Linked DNA regions of Oryzias latipes. The protein of the gene in region 2 binds, or shares a complex with, the protein of the main gene of each other region. Links are inferred from orthologs where the notes say so. Each region holds a gene or a part of one and is shown on either strand. Other genes may lie near its edges.

The links. Proteins that work in one complex are often made in the same cells at the same time.
Region 1: the proteins of topbp1 (region 2) and brip1 are in contact, whole or in part, in a crystal structure (PDB 3AL3), measured with the Homo sapiens proteins. The link is inferred for Oryzias latipes from reciprocal best matches to the Homo sapiens genes TOPBP1 and BRIP1. Residues at the interface, in NP_008958.2 of Homo sapiens: Leu1272, Ser1273, Ser1274, Leu1275, Asn1276, Pro1277, Arg1280, Gln1298, His1311, Leu1313, Arg1314, Asn1315, Glu1316, Lys1317, Leu1319, Gln1366, Arg1407, Gly1410, Phe1411, Leu1414, Thr1466, Glu1467, Ile1469, Ala1470; in NP_114432.2 of Homo sapiens: Ser1129, Tyr1131, Phe1132, Thr1133, Pro1134, Glu1135, Leu1136, Tyr1137, Asp1138.
Region 3: the proteins of topbp1 (region 2) and phf8 are in contact, whole or in part, in a crystal structure (PDB 7CMZ), measured with the Homo sapiens proteins. The link is inferred for Oryzias latipes from reciprocal best matches to the Homo sapiens genes TOPBP1 and PHF8. Residues at the interface, in NP_008958.2 of Homo sapiens: Gln1298, Cys1299, Arg1314, Asn1315, Glu1316, Leu1319, Arg1369, Ser1406, Arg1407, Gly1410, Phe1411, Arg1413, Leu1414, Arg1465, Thr1466, Glu1467, Ala1470, Asp1471, Gln1475, Asn1483, Tyr1484; in NP_001171825.1 of Homo sapiens: Gly842, Ala843, Cys844, Phe845, Asp847, Ala848, Tyr850, Ile851, Tyr852, Pro853, Ser854, Leu855, Glu856.

What each region holds. Positions count from the first base shown.
Region 1 is NC_019871.2:30,069,437-30,075,572, forward strand, and holds the start of brip1 (Fanconi anemia group J protein), read right to left. Parts: upstream 4,103-6,136; 5' UTR 3,754-4,102; intron 1-3,753. UniProt on the Homo sapiens protein: DNA-dependent ATPase and 5'-3' DNA helicase required for the maintenance of chromosomal stability. Acts late in the Fanconi anemia pathway, after FANCD2 ubiquitination.
Region 2 is NC_019878.2:21,464,314-21,469,839, reverse strand, and holds part of topbp1 (DNA topoisomerase 2-binding protein 1), read left to right. Parts: coding exon 1-170; intron 171-258; coding exon 259-431; intron 432-832; coding exon 833-1,044; intron 1,045-1,118; coding exon 1,119-1,423; intron 1,424-1,500; coding exon 1,501-1,686; intron 1,687-2,248; coding exon 2,249-2,367; intron 2,368-2,622; coding exon 2,623-2,746; intron 2,747-2,979; coding exon 2,980-3,129; intron 3,130-3,218; coding exon 3,219-3,309; intron 3,310-3,392; coding exon 3,393-3,585; intron 3,586-3,678; coding exon 3,679-3,908; intron 3,909-4,799; coding exon 4,800-4,948; intron 4,949-5,033; coding exon 5,034-5,127; intron 5,128-5,320; coding exon 5,321-5,484; intron 5,485-5,526. UniProt on the Homo sapiens protein: Scaffold protein that acts as a key protein-protein adapter in DNA replication and DNA repair. Composed of multiple BRCT domains, which specifically recognize and bind phosphorylated proteins, bringing proteins together into functional combinations.
Region 3 is NC_019865.2:11,810,350-11,816,601, reverse strand, and holds the start of phf8 (histone lysine demethylase PHF8), read right to left. Parts: upstream 4,103-6,252; 5' UTR 3,813-4,102; intron 3,286-3,812; 5' UTR 3,126-3,285; coding exon 3,028-3,125; intron 2,856-3,027; coding exon 2,770-2,855; intron 2,649-2,769; coding exon 2,522-2,648; intron 2,093-2,521; coding exon 1,932-2,092; intron 1,807-1,931; coding exon 1,665-1,806; intron 1,539-1,664; coding exon 1,352-1,538; intron 1,261-1,351; coding exon 1,098-1,260; intron 156-1,097; coding exon 68-155; intron 1-67. UniProt on the Homo sapiens protein: Histone lysine demethylase with selectivity for the di- and monomethyl states that plays a key role cell cycle progression, rDNA transcription and brain development.

The DNA of each region.
Region 1 (6,136 bases), on a different chromosome or scaffold from region 2:
GAATATTAGGGCCACAGAGGGAAAAAAGACAAGTCATAATATTGTAACCAGTTGTTTTAAAGAAGGACAGTTGTTAAAATGACAGATGTGGGGCATTTCGTGAAATTGTCCTTCAGTATGGTTTCATAAACGAAGACATGCTGATGTGCCAGAATACGAAGTATCACATTTTCATAACTATCAAAACTGTAAAAAGAATGGCTTTGTTGCTGGAAGACTAGGATCTCATAATGTGAGAAGAGTTTTAAATATCATTTATCATAAAAAAGAAAACAGAGATACTGCTCTCCTGTCATTAGATGCAGAAAAAGCATTTGATTGGGTTGAGTGGCCCTATCTTTTCAGTATCTTGGAAAGATTTGGATGCGAATCCAACTTTATAAAATGGATCAAGATTTTGTATAAAGACCCGACAGCGGAAGTTTTAACAAATAGAAATTTCTCTAAGCCAATTAAAATTAAGAGAGGATGTCGGCAAGGATGTCCTCTCTCTCCTTTGCTTTTTACTTTAGCAATAGAACCATTTGCAGCAGCGATTCGTGCACATACACAGATAACTGGAATCACAATAGGACCCACTGAACACAAAATTTCTTTGTTTGCAGACGATGTCATTTTATATTTGAGTAACCTTACTTCATCAATCCCAGCAGTGCTGGAAGTGATTCAAATATTTGGAAGTATTTCAGGATATAAAGTGAATAATGCAAAATCCTCAATTTTAATGCTAAATTCTATGGAAAGGCAAAACCCCACTTCCAAAACATCTCACTTTAAAGTAGTTGAACATTTTGAATACTTAGGAGTGGTAATTGTACCAAAGCTGGATCAAGTTGTCCAACGTAACTATGATTACTTAAAAGAAAAAATCAAAGATTCAATAGACAGATGGATGAAGCTGCCCATAACTATAATGGGAAGAATAAATATCCTAAAAATGAACGTATTGCCAAAACTGCTATACTTGTTCCAAAATGTCCCTCTGGCACCCCCTCTAGAATTATTTGCTTGGTTAAAGAAAATCACAGTAGCCTTTATATGGAACAACAGAAAACCTAAACTCCGTCTTACTTTACTATACTTACCATTTGATGGAGGGGGGCTAAAATGCCCTAATTTTAAGCATTACTTCTGGGCTACACATCTGCGCTCCATTATGTTTTACTTCTCTAATGAGAATAATCCACATTGGGTGGAAATGGAGTCCCACAATTTAAAAATACCTTTACCGTCGTTCTTATACTACGATAAAATAAGAAAGTTACAAAGACAAATCAAAAATCCTTTCTTGAAACACATGATAAAGGTCTGGTTTGAGGTCAAAAACTATTTAAAAGAAGTAAATTCTTTATCACAATTCAGCCCAATCTGGGGTCACAAGTGTTTTGTACCAGGAAGAATGGATACAACGTTTAAAACGTGGGCATCCAAAGGACTTAGAACAATTAGAGATTTGTACCCCTCACAGTCTGATACCTTTATGTCCTTTGAGGAGCTAAAATCTATGTACGACCTGGATAAAAAACACTACTTTAAATATCTTCAGTTAAGAAGCTTTGTGAATGCAAACCAAAAGAGTCTTAACAAAATTCCTCTTTCACAGCTGGAAACCCAGATGATGAAAAACAAATTAAGAAAAGGCATAATTTCGGACCTCTATAACTTATTGACATCTAATACATCAGAGAACTCAAATGGTAAATTAAAATCATGGAATGATGACTTATCACTCAATATTAATGAAAATGATTGGACAAGGGCATGTTGTAAGATTCATTCTATGTCTATTAACAGTCGACTGAGAATACTACAATTTAAATGGTTAATGCGTTTATATACGACACCAGTGCAACTAAATAAATATAATAAGAACATACCAGATGTTTGTGCAAAATGTGGATTTAAAGGCACATTGAAGCATTGCATGTGGGAATGTCACCAAATACAAATCTTTTTGGAAGAAGTTAAAATTACAATAGAAAAAATAATCTCAAAACAACTTACATTGAGCCCTATTTCTTTTGACTATATATCCAGTGAAACATAATTTTAGTAATACAGAGAGTACATTTATTGATATCAGTTTCTTAACGGCTAAAAGGTGTATTGCACAGGCTTGGAAAAACATGAGCAGACCTAGCATAAATCAGTGGCTAAAACAAATGTTGTATTGCCTTCCTTTGGAAAGAATAATGTATATTCATAAAAGCAAACAACACCTATTTGAGGAAATTTGGGGACCCTTTATTAATTATATTCAAAAATTAGAACTAATAGATGATTCAACAGATTTTTGATCTCAACCGCACGGAATTTTGCAACCTCAGTTTAAAAGCTTTTGAAAAGGAGAGCTGTGATGGTATCATGTAAGAGAAGCAATGTTCGTTGTTAAGTTTTGTTTTATGTAATTATAATTTTTATTTGTTTGAGTGCAGATATTTGTTTTGAGTGAAATGTCATACAATACAGTTTAGTTTTTTGTTTTGTTTTGTTTTTTGTTTTTTTTTAATTATTTTATTTCCTTTTTGCTTTTTGTCTTTTTATAAGGAAAACGTAACTGGTATTATTGAAGTTGCTGTGTTGTCATGACTAATTCTTTAAATAAAAAGTAGTGGAAAAAAAAAAAAAAAAAACTGTAAAAAGAATATGTTGCTTTTCTGCAGAAAGAACCAGCCTCATAAATTTATGACTTTATCCTTTTTTCCTTAGTGGGCCCTAGTACTCTGTCATATAAAATAATACACATTCCATTAAAATATGAAAACACAATGAGTAACATTATGTTCCTTTATTGAATAAGGATAAAAAAAGCAGGTAAACTACACTCAAAAACGTTCACTTTGAATGAACATAAAAAAATTATGGAAATGATTTCCACATGAATAGATAGCGTTACTTGAACAAAAATGAATCATATTGGTCCTACTTAATGTACTTAGGTTCAAACTAATAAATTTAAGTTGATTCAATCTAAATACTGCAGTTGGACCCAACTTTAAATTAATATTGTTGCTCACTCTCAAAAGAAAAAAGTTGATCCAACTTAATTGAATCACTTCAATTGGTCACACCTCATTAAATTAAGTTTATTCAACTTAAATTTGTATGACTACCTAACACAATGTATGTTGATATAACTTAATTTTTTGCTTTAAATTTATTTATACATCTGACATTGATGTAGTTTTCCAAAGGTTCAACCAATGGGTCTTTTAATTTTCATATCAAAGACATTTTCTGCGCAGTAATGTCCCACACCACAAGACAGGAGCTCAAATTCTGTTTTAAGTTACATGAATAGTTTACCGCACAAGGCGGTTGGTCATCATCCTCTCCCAAACTCTAACTCATGGTGCAAAAAAAAAAAAAAACACAACAGTTTAAATCACTAGTTAAAACAGAGTAAAACAGCTAGACAATAAAACCCATGGACAAAAACTCACACTTAGACCCCAATCTGCCCAGATAGACAAAGAAAATGGAATCCCACAATTCCTTGCGATTACTAATGTATCCAATTCAACGGTATCATATTGGATCAACATGATTGAAATTAGTAACTTTTAAATGGATTATTTTTATGTACGATCGACATGATTCATTCACGTAAGATTTACAAACATAACATTTTCTGGTTGAAATGACAAGTTACATTTTCGTAAAATCAATTGGCTGGTAATTTAATTTAAAAAAATCTTGAGTGTGCTTTATCACTGTGGCGGTGTTGACTTTCTTCTTAATTATATCTTTTACCTCCTCGTATGCCTCCATGAGGATTTGTTCTTCCGATGGGGAAAGGTACGCGGCTCTAGTTGCCATGGTAAATCAGTTTATCTGTGATCTGTGGCGGGGTCTGTTTGAGTGAGCCGTGAGCGCGCACCTATCCAGGATTGGTTACACCTGGCTTGATGAATCCGTGTCTGCTCATCCTGGCTTGGTCTTTGTGCAACCGATTAAGCCTAGACGCACATGTTTTGGATTCATTGAGCTCAGCTTAGTCATTTATCCCGGATGTCTTAATTTTACTTTTGTGCAACAGGCCCCTGGGGCCTGTTTCAGAAAGCAGGTTATGCTAGCTCCCACGATAAGCTTGAGGCTAAGGAAGTTGATAACCGCAGCTTTCGGTTCCAGAAATGGAGGTATGTTTCAGGGCAATGAGTTATATCACTAGAGGAGACACGCCCGCTTGGGAAGCCTGGCCGACGGTGGCGGAGCGTGACGCCATCTTGGTGAGGTCGACGAGGCCCACATGACAATGATTTCTATTGCTTTTAGTGGTGTCTAGGTAGCTTTTATACTATATATATTTTTACATTTATATATATTTATATATGTATGTAAATATATTATATTTATATATATAATATATATATAGATACATCATTTGTTGTTGTTAAAGAAGAGAAACAGGCAGCCTTAAAAGTTCAAACTTTAATGAAAATGCATTGTTGCAGGACTTCTTACGAAGAAAAAAATAATTTCAAAGAGTTTTTAAAAATACTTTCTAAACATTTAGAAGTTTTAGACCTCTTTGACATGTAATTTAAATTATTTAGAAAAACCCAACAATGAGTCAATAATAATAATAATAATAATAATAATAATAATAATAATAATAATTATAATAATAACAAATCAATAGTAAGTCAATAAAAAACAATAAATAAATAAATAATAAGTCAATAAATAATAAGTCTATTAATAATAATAATAATAATAATAATAATAATAGTAAAATAAATATTCAAAAGAAGTCCAAAAGTGAACAAGAGATTTACCCTAAAAAAGCAACAACAACAAAGAAAAACAATAGATTTATATTGATTCATGTGAGTATAACACAGATGGTTTGGTTTCAGGTTTCAAGCGAACAGTCTGGCCTCTCATCTAAATGTGTTTCCACAAATGTTTCTAACATATCCAGACTGTATTCTAGTTGGTACCACAGTGATCCATCTGGGTTAGCTCTTTTTATTGCTAAGATCCACTTTTTCCTTAAGTCTGAATCCATTGGAAACCTGCAAGAAAAGTTCAGTCACTGAGTCAGAAATGTATAAATCTATATAACTAAAATAGCCTAGTATGCTGTATACAGGTTTAGCTAAATAAAATGTACATTTATGTCAAAAGCAAATTATACGAACATCATGCAGCATGTTGATGACAGCCCTGCAGCATCATGCATGTCAACATGTGTATGATTAATGAAGCCCCTGCAGCATTAAAAGAAAAAAAATTTAGTACTTACCTGTGAAATGATATACCTTCCTCCTTCATGGACTCAGTGCTCTGATTTGGCAGTTGAAACCCGCAAAATTAACTGGTATTATGCAAAAAATGTGTTCACATGCATGCACTGCAGTAGTAACTTGTCCTCACCAAGATGGCGGTGCTCTCCTCCCATGAGGAACCACGTGATGTCTCCTCTAGCGATATAACTCATTGGGAGAAACTCATAAATAAAGGGAAAATCGGTGCACGGATAGAAAAAGTAAGGCTAAACATGTTCAATGTTTCTTTTTTTTAATAACTTGGGAGTAAGTGCAAAAAAATGTAAGTAAGATAATTTATTTTATTTTTATGAACATTTTCACAGACAACATTGATAACTGATTAAATAAAGCTCCAGAATTTGTGTGCTGAACACATCTGTATACTTTAATTTGTTTTCAGTACATATGAATAATTTATACACAAGAAGAGTGTTCTATCCATGTCTACAAAAGAAATATTCTCTGGAGGACAAATATGCTCTTGTGTGTTTTATAAGCTGTTAGCTGCCGTTGGATGAAAGGTGAAATTTTCAGTTCTTTAGTAAATCTGACTCCAGAGGAATCGGTGCCTCACCAGTCATCAACCTCACCGCACGACACTGAAAGACATACAAAAAAAAAAAATGAAAAAGCAGTCTTTCAGTGCTGAACTGTCTTTTTGTGGCCTCATTCTAACTCCTCTCATCTTGCTTGTCACTGCTGGCTAATTAACATATGAGCAGGAACCCTGCAGGGGGAGGAGGGGGGGAATCTGACCCCTGCAGCAGGCCAGACGCCAGACTTCAAGAGGCTGTGGAGTAAAAGATGAAAAAAATGTCTTAAAATTCACCAGTTCATTTTAAAATTCTGAAAATATTCAGGGA
Region 2 (5,526 bases):
TCGTGGGCTTTGGTGTTGAGGCGGAGGCACAGCTCTCCACGCTGGTGATTGAACATGGAGGAAAGGTGCTGGCTGGCCGCTGTCGCGCGGTGGCAGACTATGCCGTGGTTCCTCTGCTGGGATGCTCGGTCGAGGCCACAGTTGACGAGGTGGTCACGGATACGTGGCTGGTAAGAACAAAACCCATCATTTTTGCCCGGATTTTCTGCAAATCCCGGCTTTCTCATATTTGTCTTTTCTTTGGCGTTTCCCTGCCAGGCCATGTGTGTGGAGAAGGAGTGTGTTCTCCTGCTGTCGTCCAACCCGCTGTTCACTCCTGTGGCTGTGAGGGAGGGCTGCTTCCCTCTGGAGGGCTGCGTTCTCTCAGTCAGCCAGTTCATCGGAGCAGAGAGGGAGTCTTTGATCCAGCTGGCCAAGCATGTCGGAGCCGAGTACGATGAGCTTCCGTGACCTTTTTTAGAACGGCTGCAGGGGTCTGAATATTCCATAAACTCCTGAAGACCCACTCCGATTAGTGGCATTTTTTATGATGACGGAGGACATATATAAACATAATTAAGCGTAAAGTTGCGTTTCTAATTATTTATTTGTTCTAGCCGTTGTGAATCAGGAGCAGACAAAAAATGCTGTTGCTCTGGAGAAACTATGTCATAGAAAAAGACACAGTTTTTTAAGTTTTGGCTAAAAATGGCATTATCCTAATTAAAGACCTCTGAAAACACTTTCAAAATAGATCAAAAGATGACTGGAGTGGGACTTTAGTGGTTTCTGTTCATTCTAAATATGATACCTGATTTAAGTTATCCTAATCCTCATCTTCTGCCTGCTGCAGTGTCCAGGATTACTTTGTGCGCTTTGCTATTAAGAAGAAGGGCATGGTGGCCAGCACTCATCTGGTTTTGCAGAGTCCAGACGGCACAAAGTTCCAGGCAGCAAAGAAGTGGGGCCTCCCTGCTGTGAGCATGCACTGGATTCTGGAGTCGGCTCGAACAGGACAGAAAGCAGCAGAGGAGATGTTCCTGGTTGATCTACCTCCTTCACCAGGTTAAAGTCCAGCATTTGCGCGTCTGTGGTGATTCATTGTTGGCATCATCTTTTAATGTTCTCCTCCTCTACAGAGAGGGACGATGAGAGCTTCGTCGGCGGCTCCCAGAAACCGGCTCAAGCTCGTAACTCTCCAGAAATCCCCCTGCTGGGCCCGCAGAGCGGTAAAGCTGTCACCCCTCTGGATTTAGGTCGCTTTCAAAGCAAAGTGTTTCACTCTGTTCTGGATGAGATGAAGCCCAAAGACGGCCTCAGCACTCCCAAACAAAACCCGGATGGCAGCAGAAGACACGCCCACAGGGAGGCGTCGCTGCAGCTGGACACTCCCTCCCGTTTCCTCAGCAGAGATCAGCTCTTCCGTCCGTCCTTCAACGTCAAGGTTGTGATTCACTGAAAGCAAAAGAGGGCAGACTTTTCCTTTATTGACCTGAAACCTTTGTGGGTTTTGCTCTCCAGGATGCTCTTGGAGCTTTGGAGACTCCAGGGGGAAGGTTGAAGCCAGGCGAGAAGGTGGAGACTCCACTTACTGATGTCATCAACAGGAATCTGAAAGTAGCTTTAGCCAATAGCTCGCGGAATAATGTCTCAGAAATGCAGGCGGCTTCTGGAAGCCCTGAACTGGGAAAATCCACTGAGAAGGAGGTAAAAATGAAAGAACTACACAACATCTCCTGTCTGCAGTTTTCACAAGTTTGTGGTTTAGTTCCTTATGTGTTTAAAGACTCACTTCAGTCATCCTTTGGTCCAGTTTTAAAGTCTTCTAGTGGTCTTTTAATTAGGACTATGATGAAGTAGTTTCTGCAGAACAGCAGTTGTTATCGGGACCGTCGGCACGGAGCAACCCCGCCCCCTCTCCCTGTCACCACTCTGTTTTAGGGATCTCCAGCTAGCTTACAGCCCCTCCCACCCCCGACCTAACATTAGCAGTGCGGCAATATTGGAGCCGTACAGTTTTGATGCAGATTCCAGCTCAGACGAGGAAAACAAAGACGTGCATGAATCTGTTTGCATCAGAATGGAGCGGAGCAGGGAGCTCCTGATCAGAACAAAGAAAAGACTCAGAAATGCAACTTCCAGTTTAGATTGTTATTTATATATGTTCTCCGTCATCAGAAAAATGCAGGAAGAGCATTTTAAAAACACCAAAATGCTATTTTTATTGGAGTGGGTCTTTAAAATGAAACTGTGTTTGTGTTTTGCACAGAAGGACCCGCAGAAAGAAGCCGGACCGCTGGCTGGAGTTGTGGTCTGTGTGGGAAAGAAGTTGAGCAAAATGCAGACTGAACTAAACGCCGTCGCTGCCTCACTGGGAGCAGACTTCAGGTTTTCCACTCTTCCTCACTCAAATCCGTTTGTACTTCTGTGTTCTGTCACTTTGCCTCTTCTTCCGCCTTCAGCACCAGGCTTTCATGGCCGGTAAACAAAGTGTTACGCCCCTTTTAACCCTCCATACAAAATATAACAAATAACTAAAAGTGAATCAAAAAGGCTTCAGGGAAGGCCGGTTGCAAAACAGCACCAATTGTGAAGAAATATTTTACATTGAATGAAAATGATGTCTCTTCTTCTCTTTTGCAGGTGGGCTTATGACGACACGGTGACACACTACATCTACCAGGGCCGGGTTGGGGACAACAGCCGTGAATACAAAGGAGTGAAGGAGAGGGGGGTGCATGTGGTCTCCCAGTACTGGCTGCAGGCCGTATGTTTCCCTCTAACTTTGATTTTAGCTTCATTTATGACAAAGTTGGGTTTTAGTCCCAAATGTGTTAGTTTTCTTTTTTAAATTTCATATAATGTTTTTACGTAAATACTTTTAAAATGAAATGTCGAGTTAATTTGGCCAAAAATGATATTAAATTGTAATGGTTGAACGACACTGAGAGGCTGGTCGTGTCCACAGTTTTTGTCTGAAACAAACCTCCTCTGGTTTAGTGCGCTGATGAGCAGAAACGGGTTCCAGAGTCCCTGTTTCCTTTCACCTACAACCCTAAGATGAGCCTCAACCTGAGCCAGGTGCCCAGCAGCTCCCAGAGATCTCCACCTTTGACACGGACACAGCGGAGAGACGCCGCTGCAGCCAAGGTGGGTGGAAACATGGCCGTCATTTATCACAAAGCCCTGGTTTTTAGAGCTTCTCATGTCGTCTTAAATGAGTTTTCTTTGTTGTTTAGCTCAGTTTTTCCGAAGAAGAAGCTCCAGCTCTGCGCCGTGCGAGTGATGGAAGCGCGGACCAGGAAGATCTTGATCACACAGAGAGAACAGGTGGGTTTTTTTTTCCTCCACAAGCCAGTCCTGGTTGGTAAGCGAAGAAAGAACATCGAAACTGACGTGGGTTTGATGATTAGATACTCTGGAAATGAGGGAGAACCTGCAGAAACAGCTGCAGGAGATCATGTCAGCCACCAAACTGACGACCGGCAGACGCACTTCAGTCAGGCTGGCAAAGATGGGGTCCGGTGGGGCCGACTCAGGCCCTCATACACCTGAAGGGAGCCGAATGGGACGGAGTGGAAGCAGAAGAACCCTGGAAGCTTTGAGGTAAACAAACAAAAGACCCTTCCCAGCTGGGATCAGGAGGAATTTGATGGTAAAAAGGTTGTTGGATGATTCCTCAAACGTCTGTGTCCCCAGAGTTTCCAGAGAAGCAGCGCTGGATGTGAACACGGAGCCCTCGCAGAGCGAACAGATCGTCTGGGACGACCCGACGGCAAGAGAGGAGAGGGCCAAGCTGGCCGATAACCTGCAGTGGCCCGGCAGCCCCTCGCAGCACTCAGACCCCATCGTGGCCGCTCCACCCCCCACAGCAGAACCAGCACCACAGATGAAGGACTCCATGACCGACTCCGAGCTGGTGGAGATGGGTTTGTGTCGTTTTCAAAACCTCTCAGCAAAAATGAGCGTCTGTGACCTCATTAAAGTCCCACTCCGATCATCTTTTGATCTATTTTCAAAGCGTTCCCGGTTAATTATAATTATGCCGTTTGTAGCCAATATCTAGGATATATTTTCTGCAGAGCTGCAACGGTTCATCAGAAATTCACCTCTGAGTTATTAGGCGGGACTGTTGGCGGGGAGCGACTCCGCCCCCTTTTCATCTGTTTACAATCTCACCTGCTAGCTTACAGCCACAACCAAACATTATCAGTGCAACACAAATATCCGAGCTATCCGGTCGTACAGTTCAGATCCTGATTCCAGCGTTTTTTTTCTTACCGTCACTAATACAATCTTTCTCAAACTGAATTTTTTCATCTGCTCCTGATTCACAACAATTTCAATTGAATTCTCAAATATGCATTTTTAAGCTAAATTTTCTCAACATATGTTCTTCTTCGTAAGAAAAATGCCCCAAGATGTTAAAAAGCGCATTTTTCATCGAAGTGGATCTTTAAGAATAAAATTTAGAATAAAAAGCAAAGAAAATTCTGTTAGTTAAAACCTTAAATCAAATACGTTTTAACTTCAACCTAATTTTTTGTGTCTTACTTAAAATGAAAAAATTATACAACAATATTATAAGTTTAAAAACACTTTTTAACACACCAATCCCCATAAAGCAGCTTTATTGTTTTGTAGAAGCTGTTTTCTGAACGTCTTTTCCTATAGTACATGACTGATAGTATATTGATGTATATGAAGTATTCTGTTGAAGCAGAGGTAGTAGGTTTATGGGAGGAAGTCGGATTTACTGGGATGACTCTGTAGATGGTTTGAAACTTCATGGCTGAAGTGCGTTTCCTGGTCTCCAACAGCTGCCTGTGACGTTATTGACCAGCACCTGGGGCAGAAGCTGATAACTCCCCCATCAGAGGAGGCAGAAGATGATATTCTCACGCCCAAAGCCCCCTGCATCGCTTTTCCTCTCACCAAACCCACAGCAGCCCCCGAGCCTCTGAGAGAGGTTCGCATTTAACCAGAAGAATAGGTTTTCCTAAAATAAAGGGGACTTTTTTCTTTTTAATATAATGTTCTTCTATTTCTCCCAGGAGGAGAAAAAAGAAAAACAGCCCCCCAGGTTTCAGATGTCCTCCCTCAGCCCTCAGGAGCGCATCGATTACAGCCACGTCATCGAGGATCTGGGTGAGTCTCATCGGGATTCAGAAACGGAAACTAAGAAGCTGAGATTTACTGACGGGAGCTGTGAATATTTTCTTTTCTTGAGCGTTTTTCTTCATTCTTTTTATTTTGTCAGAAATATTTGAACGAACATCTTCTTCCACGGACTGGAAAAGAACACGAAAACCACAAACGTGTGTGTTTCTGTCTGCTGTAGGGGGTGTCGTTTTGGAAAAGCAGTCGTTTGACCCGAGCTGCTCCCACATCATCGTTGGGAGTCCTCTGCGTAACGAGAAGTATCTGGCAGCGATGGCGGCCGGGAAGTGGATCTTGCACCGCTCCTACCTGGAGGTCTGTCGCGGCGTGGGCAGGTTCATTCAGGTGAGGAGCTTCTTACCCAGCCCACCATGTTTACATGTCTGT
Region 3 (6,252 bases), on a different chromosome or scaffold from region 2:
TAAATCGTATACTTTTTTGTCAATTCAAATTCTAATACATAGTGCAAGATCTTCTGAAGAAACTAACCTGATCTGCATATCAATGTTGAGACTATGCAAGAAGTTTCCTCCAAAAGCCAGGCAATCAACTGGAGTCAACACTGCATGAATCCATCCTGAAGAGAAACATATATATTAGGTCATACAGCACTGCATAAAAAAAATAATCATATTTATATTTTTTGTAAAGATGTTTTCTTATTGTGACTACTTGGCAAAAAGAGCTCAGATGATGAATGATAGCATTTGCACAGATTCCAATATCCAACAAAACAAAAAATCCAAACTACTTTTATCTGCATCTCCCCTTTCGTACAGTTGCCTGCAGACTGCTTTACCTATTCATATCAGCATCAGAGGCATTTGTATGTCTTCTGGTCTCAGTGCGTCAAGTCTATTTAAGTTGATGCTCTGTCCGCTTCTCTCTTCCTCCCTTCTAGCAGTCATAACGGCAGCAACCTGTGAGTGCTGAGCGAATTCTCTTTGTATTTTATTCGTATCTTATTTTTGGTAAACCTTAAAACTGTGCTGCCTCAAAACATTGATTTTGAGTGAAGTGCAAACTAATATACTATGTACTTTAACCAAGCACACAGGGGCAAAAAAAAGTATTTCACTGTCTCTGGTTCTGCAGGATGTCTCACTTTAAAAGATTCTGTAAAGTTAATCAATTCTTGAATTATCATACAATGGGATTACCTGGAGTTTGATTTTACATTCTGTCTCACACAGTTGAAGTGTAACGTGGATGAACATTATATATCTATTTTTTCAAAGTGAGACAATTTGCAGATTTTGTGACTGACAACTACTTCCCCCTATACATAGAAAAACAAAGCCTAATTTAGAAATGTGTGCATGTTTTATTTATCAAACAGGAAGAAATTTACATCATTCTGTTATTCTATATCTATTCTATTTATAAAAATCCTGTCAACTTCTGTTAGTCTTATTTCAAGATTTAACACAGATCTAATCCATATACCGGTAATCTAGTTGGTAGACTTTAAAGGATGTTTAATTGCAAATAGTTGTCAAAACAAGCATGTGCTGCTTACCAGTTGGTATGAACAGTGTGTTTCCCTGTTTCACGGAACACTTGTAGCACATATCAACCTGGTCTCCAAAAAACATCTCATTCTGGTTAGAAGAGGAGTTCCACTGTTCAAATAGGGCCAGGTTGGCTGGAGTTGGAGAAATCAGGTAGAAGATTTTCTCCCCCTGAGTGAACACAAAGGAAAAGCTTTAAGTAAAAAAACAAAACAATAAAGGATTAAAACTAAAAGATATAATCTAAACATATTTCTCTTACCCTCAAGACATGGTACCATACTGAGGTGCCTCCAAAATCAATGTGAAAGTCTGTGTAGCTGTCTTTTACTCCCATCAAACAGTACTTCTGGACATTAGGGCGCTCAAAAACAGACTCTTCAGGCCAGAGGTTTTCCACCCATGACAGTTTCCTCACTATTTTGGGAGTTTCTACCAGGTTAGAGAGCCTAAAAAGTAAATGCATAGCTTAAGTTTTCAACAGCTCAGCTTCCACACTGAAATTGTAATCCAGTTCATTTAAATGTTCATTGTGCTTCTCAAGATATCAGATAAGTAAAGTCAAAAATGTGCACCTAGTCTCAGAAAACTCCAGACTAATGACGTTGAGTACCCTGTCTCTGTTAGGGCTGTTGTAATATTCAACAAAGTCTCCTAGTCTCATCTTCAGATCACATTGCCGACACACATCAATCACATCAATTTCTTTATCTGGACCTGCAATGGAAGAGGATTTAGAAAAATATGAAGAGGATTTAATATCAACACCCACGCCACAAAGAAAAATGTAACAATATCAAGCCATTAATTTGAATCTGGTACATAAATGTTAAAAAAATTACCAATGTGGTGCTCTATATCAGAAACGCTAAACGAAGCTGGAGGAAGGGTCATGCCTAACCCATCGCGCCTCAAGACCATGACAGGGACACTGAATGAGTGCTCTTCCAAGAATTCCACAGTCAGTTGTGCCCCTGATGGCTTTAGCAAGATTTCATCTGCACTGTAACCACATCACACAAAAAAAGGGAGACAATGAGTGCCAGCAAACAAGTGGAAATCTGCAATTTAAAAAAGATACATTAACAAGGAAAATGTTATGAAGTAGGAAGACCAGTTAAATCAACAACTGCCAAAGTATCAATCAGATCGAATCACCGTGCTCTAATAATCCAGAGGGAAATTTATTGTTGTTTTTCAGTCATTTCAAGTAGCTTTTACCTGCCATTCATTTTAGTTAAATGAATAGGGAACATTTGGGTACAACTATAAAAATATCTTAAATTCATTACATCAATAATGATAAAAAAAATAATCAAATGAAAAAAAAATCAAACCAAACATAAGAAATCCAGTGTTCATTTTATTTATGCATTTATATATATTTTTATTTGGGATCGCAAATTTGTTTAACTGATTTACACAGTCTTACTTTGGGAATGTACGGCTCCTCAGCTCTCTGACAAACTGTGGACTTCCCGTCTTTACAGGCCGACTTGGATCTCTTAATGCTGCAGCACTTCCATCTGTCTGTTTATTGCCGCCACGGCGTTTGCGCACTTAGAAAACAGACAACACACAGATTGGGCAGGTCTAACAATTATGATAATTTAAACTACTGTGGTGTAACAGCAAGAAAACGACTTCTCAGTCACATAGAAAAAGAACAAAGACACTTACTGACAGATGGCCCGTGTGTGACCTGACAGTTTGGGCAGTGGTACAGGTCAATTTCAGCTGCTTTGTCCTCTTCCACTCCAACACAGCTGCACAGAAAACCCACAAAAGATATTTAGCCACACTAGGTAATTGAATAACAAATTTTAGATCAACACCTATTACATTTTAGAAAATAAAGCAATAAAAAAATATTACTTTAAAATAAAAATGTCAGTCTTAGTAAGACATTGTAATTATAATGACTAGAAAATAACTCACCTTCCATGAAACCAGTCTTGACAAATGTCGCATTCAATCATGAATCGTGTCACATCATAAGGGAGTCGACACAAGCAGTACACTGGCACTGATGCCATGTTTTAAGGACGAATTTATAAAATATAAAAGAACATAAAACAAAAAATGGTTTCCAAATCTGATTCAGGAGAGTGGCAAGTCAGAGAATCTAACAGTAATATACAAATGCACTGAAAAGTATTTATGTATAGCCACTGTCAGCTCGTTTTCCTTCAGAACCTGGCAAGAAGAAAAACAAACATATTTGAACTCGCTGGACATTTGACGTGAAAGAGTACATGAATAATCCATGTTCTATAAAAATCTGGCTAAAATTTGTTTCGCTCATAACAAAAAGAACCAATGCAACAAAACAATGCTAATCTGATAAAGTCCTACAATATTAAGAAATAAATTTGCAACAAATAATTTCAGAACACAACAACGAAGTAACTATATCACACAACTGCAAAGTTCACTCATATGAATAGCGAGTTCAGCTTAAGAGTTAATAATGTTCACGAATTAGCAGGTGTATCTATACATGGCTGTTTGTAAACACACTGTAGGGCAACGTTAAACGACATAAACAGCGAGCAAGCTAACGTTAGCCAAGTTAGCAAACAATGTAGCTAGCTTACCGAAATATTACATTTTAAAACAAATGTTTTTATTACAAACTGAGATAGATTAATCTGATAAAGTAAAAACAGCTCCTTTACAGTTACTAAAGAAGTGTAGACTAAAGTTAACCACTAGAAACTCACCGATATGTAGCTTTGATGCTAGTCCTAGCATTGAAAGGCGGTTGTAATCTCTACGCAAGCTTGGGGCAGCTGCGGCCTTATTATGTAACACCAAATATCAATAATTTGCTTTACCACATTTTTGTTTATAAACTTAAAAATTCCAACATAATAAAATCTGATCAAAATATTGACGCTGAAGCTAAAAAGAAAGAAAGCTGAAGCAGTCTAAACGACAGCAATGATTAAAAGTAACATCGCCTTTGAGGCCATCAACGCCATTTCAAAGGGGATAACGTCAGACCGTTGTTCGCTTCTGTCATCCGTTGTAGGAACAATAAAGTTGTTAACATTCTGAAAGAGCACATGGGGGAGGGAGAAGGCCAAAGACAAATTTTTGATCACTTGTTGAATTACTATACATATACACATATCATGAAAAAACATGCAAATATATATAAAATAAAATATTTGATAATTTAAAATCAACATAAAAACAAATGTGTACTGTAATTATTTTTTCACAAGTAATTTTTATTAGTTATAAAACCATTCTTTTTGCCCTTATGTGCTTGTTGTCACCACTTAGTAATTTTAAAGTAATTTATCTGTATGTTTATAGGGAAACCAATAAATTCATTTATTTGCTTTTTATTATTTATATCCCTGAATTTATATGTGGAAATCTCTATACAAGACAAAAAATAAATAAATGCAGTTCAGTACTTCAGACAGTAGGCCCATTTGGAAATACAAGTAATTTTGCAGGTCGGACTGTTTGTGTCAAACTGATTACACTACTGTCTGCGTAATGATGTATGTTTACTATCAGAGTATGGAGTTGAGTTTTAAGGCCATTAGAGACCATGAACTTCCAAAAAAACACAGGTATTTCTCACAAGCTTTTCCACCCTCCATATCTGACAAAAAGCCAACAGCACACACACCCCATTGCCAAAGCATTTATTTTGGTTAGTTACAAAAAAAAGTTACAATTTACATAGGCTAAATCATCAGCAACATACTTTAATCTCTTCTCTTCTTTTCATTCTCAAATATAAATGGTTTACAATGTGCAATGCCATTGTAGGACTCCCCAGATTACTATTGTTTTCATTTCAGTATAGTGTTTGCCGAGTAGTGCAGCAGGAATGCTGGTGACATTCTCTTATATAATTTTGAAATAGCATCACTGTAAAAAAAATGGGGACTAATTATCAGAAAAGAACTATAAAAACCTTTTCTGCCAATCTTTTGGAGGTATATCAAGACAGGGAGTCCTATGTAAACACAGATGAAGACCAGTGTTGTCTAATTTAAATAACCTTTGAAATAAAGTGATGGGAACAGAATTTTACAATCTGTACAACTTCATTCCAAAATACAAAAATAAGTGTCATCTTTTAGATAACATTTTGGTAACACTTTAATGACAAAGTCAGCTTCATAAGTCTGACAGTTACAGTGTAGCTTATTGGATAAAAGTCAGTGTCAGACATGACAGGATGGTGCTTCACCTTCACTTGTAATCAGTGAAATTTCTCAGGAAAAGAAAGTACAGAATATTGAAGAATTTTATTCTTAAATCATGCAAATTTTCCAATTGAAAAGAAACATTAGTTTATGTTTTTCGTCTCATGTTTTCTGTTTTGCAATAAATGCTTTTACAACTAATCAAACAGAAATGCTCCTTTTGACTGTAAGCTATTATAACAAATAGCTTGACCATCAATGGTCAAGCAAATATATGGCTAAATTAGCTTATAAGCCAAGAACTGAATTTTACTCAAATCTGTTGCTGAAATTTGAACTTCTGTTGTTTGTCTACAAATTTGTTAAGAACTAAAGACTAAAAAATTTTAGATGTGTGTTTCCAGCACGGATATGGCTCACACGCAGTAAAAGGCTGATGGTCAAAAACTACACATTTCACAGGAAAAGAAGGAATGCCAAAAAAAAAGCTTCTAGCTAGGCATGTGAGGATCTCACAGCAGTGCTAAACATCAAACTTACAAACAGTAAGATATAAAATCCCCATGTTTGTCTCTTAAAGTAGCATGTTGAGAGCATAGCAAGAGTAAACATTTCCGTCAGTATACAGTGACATCTGAGAGGCTGCTTTGAAGAAAAGAAACCATTTTTCAATTCAAGATTATATACACCATGAGACTACCACATAAAACTCTTCTACACTCACACTTGCAAACAATGCTGTCAACTGAAAAGGCAACAGGGATGGTCTACTCGGTCAGTAATAACTTGGCTTAAACTTTTTCTTAATTTACGTGTTTTGCTGAGCTCAGACAGAAAGGAAACACGCAACGTGTAAAAGAGTACGGTTCAGTCATACTTTTTTTAAAATGTATTTCTTTCTGTTTTGGGTCAAATAAGCATTGAAGCTCGTCTTAGCTTGAACAGGCTTTCCCTAAATCCCAAAGCCAATGAATGCACATAACACTGA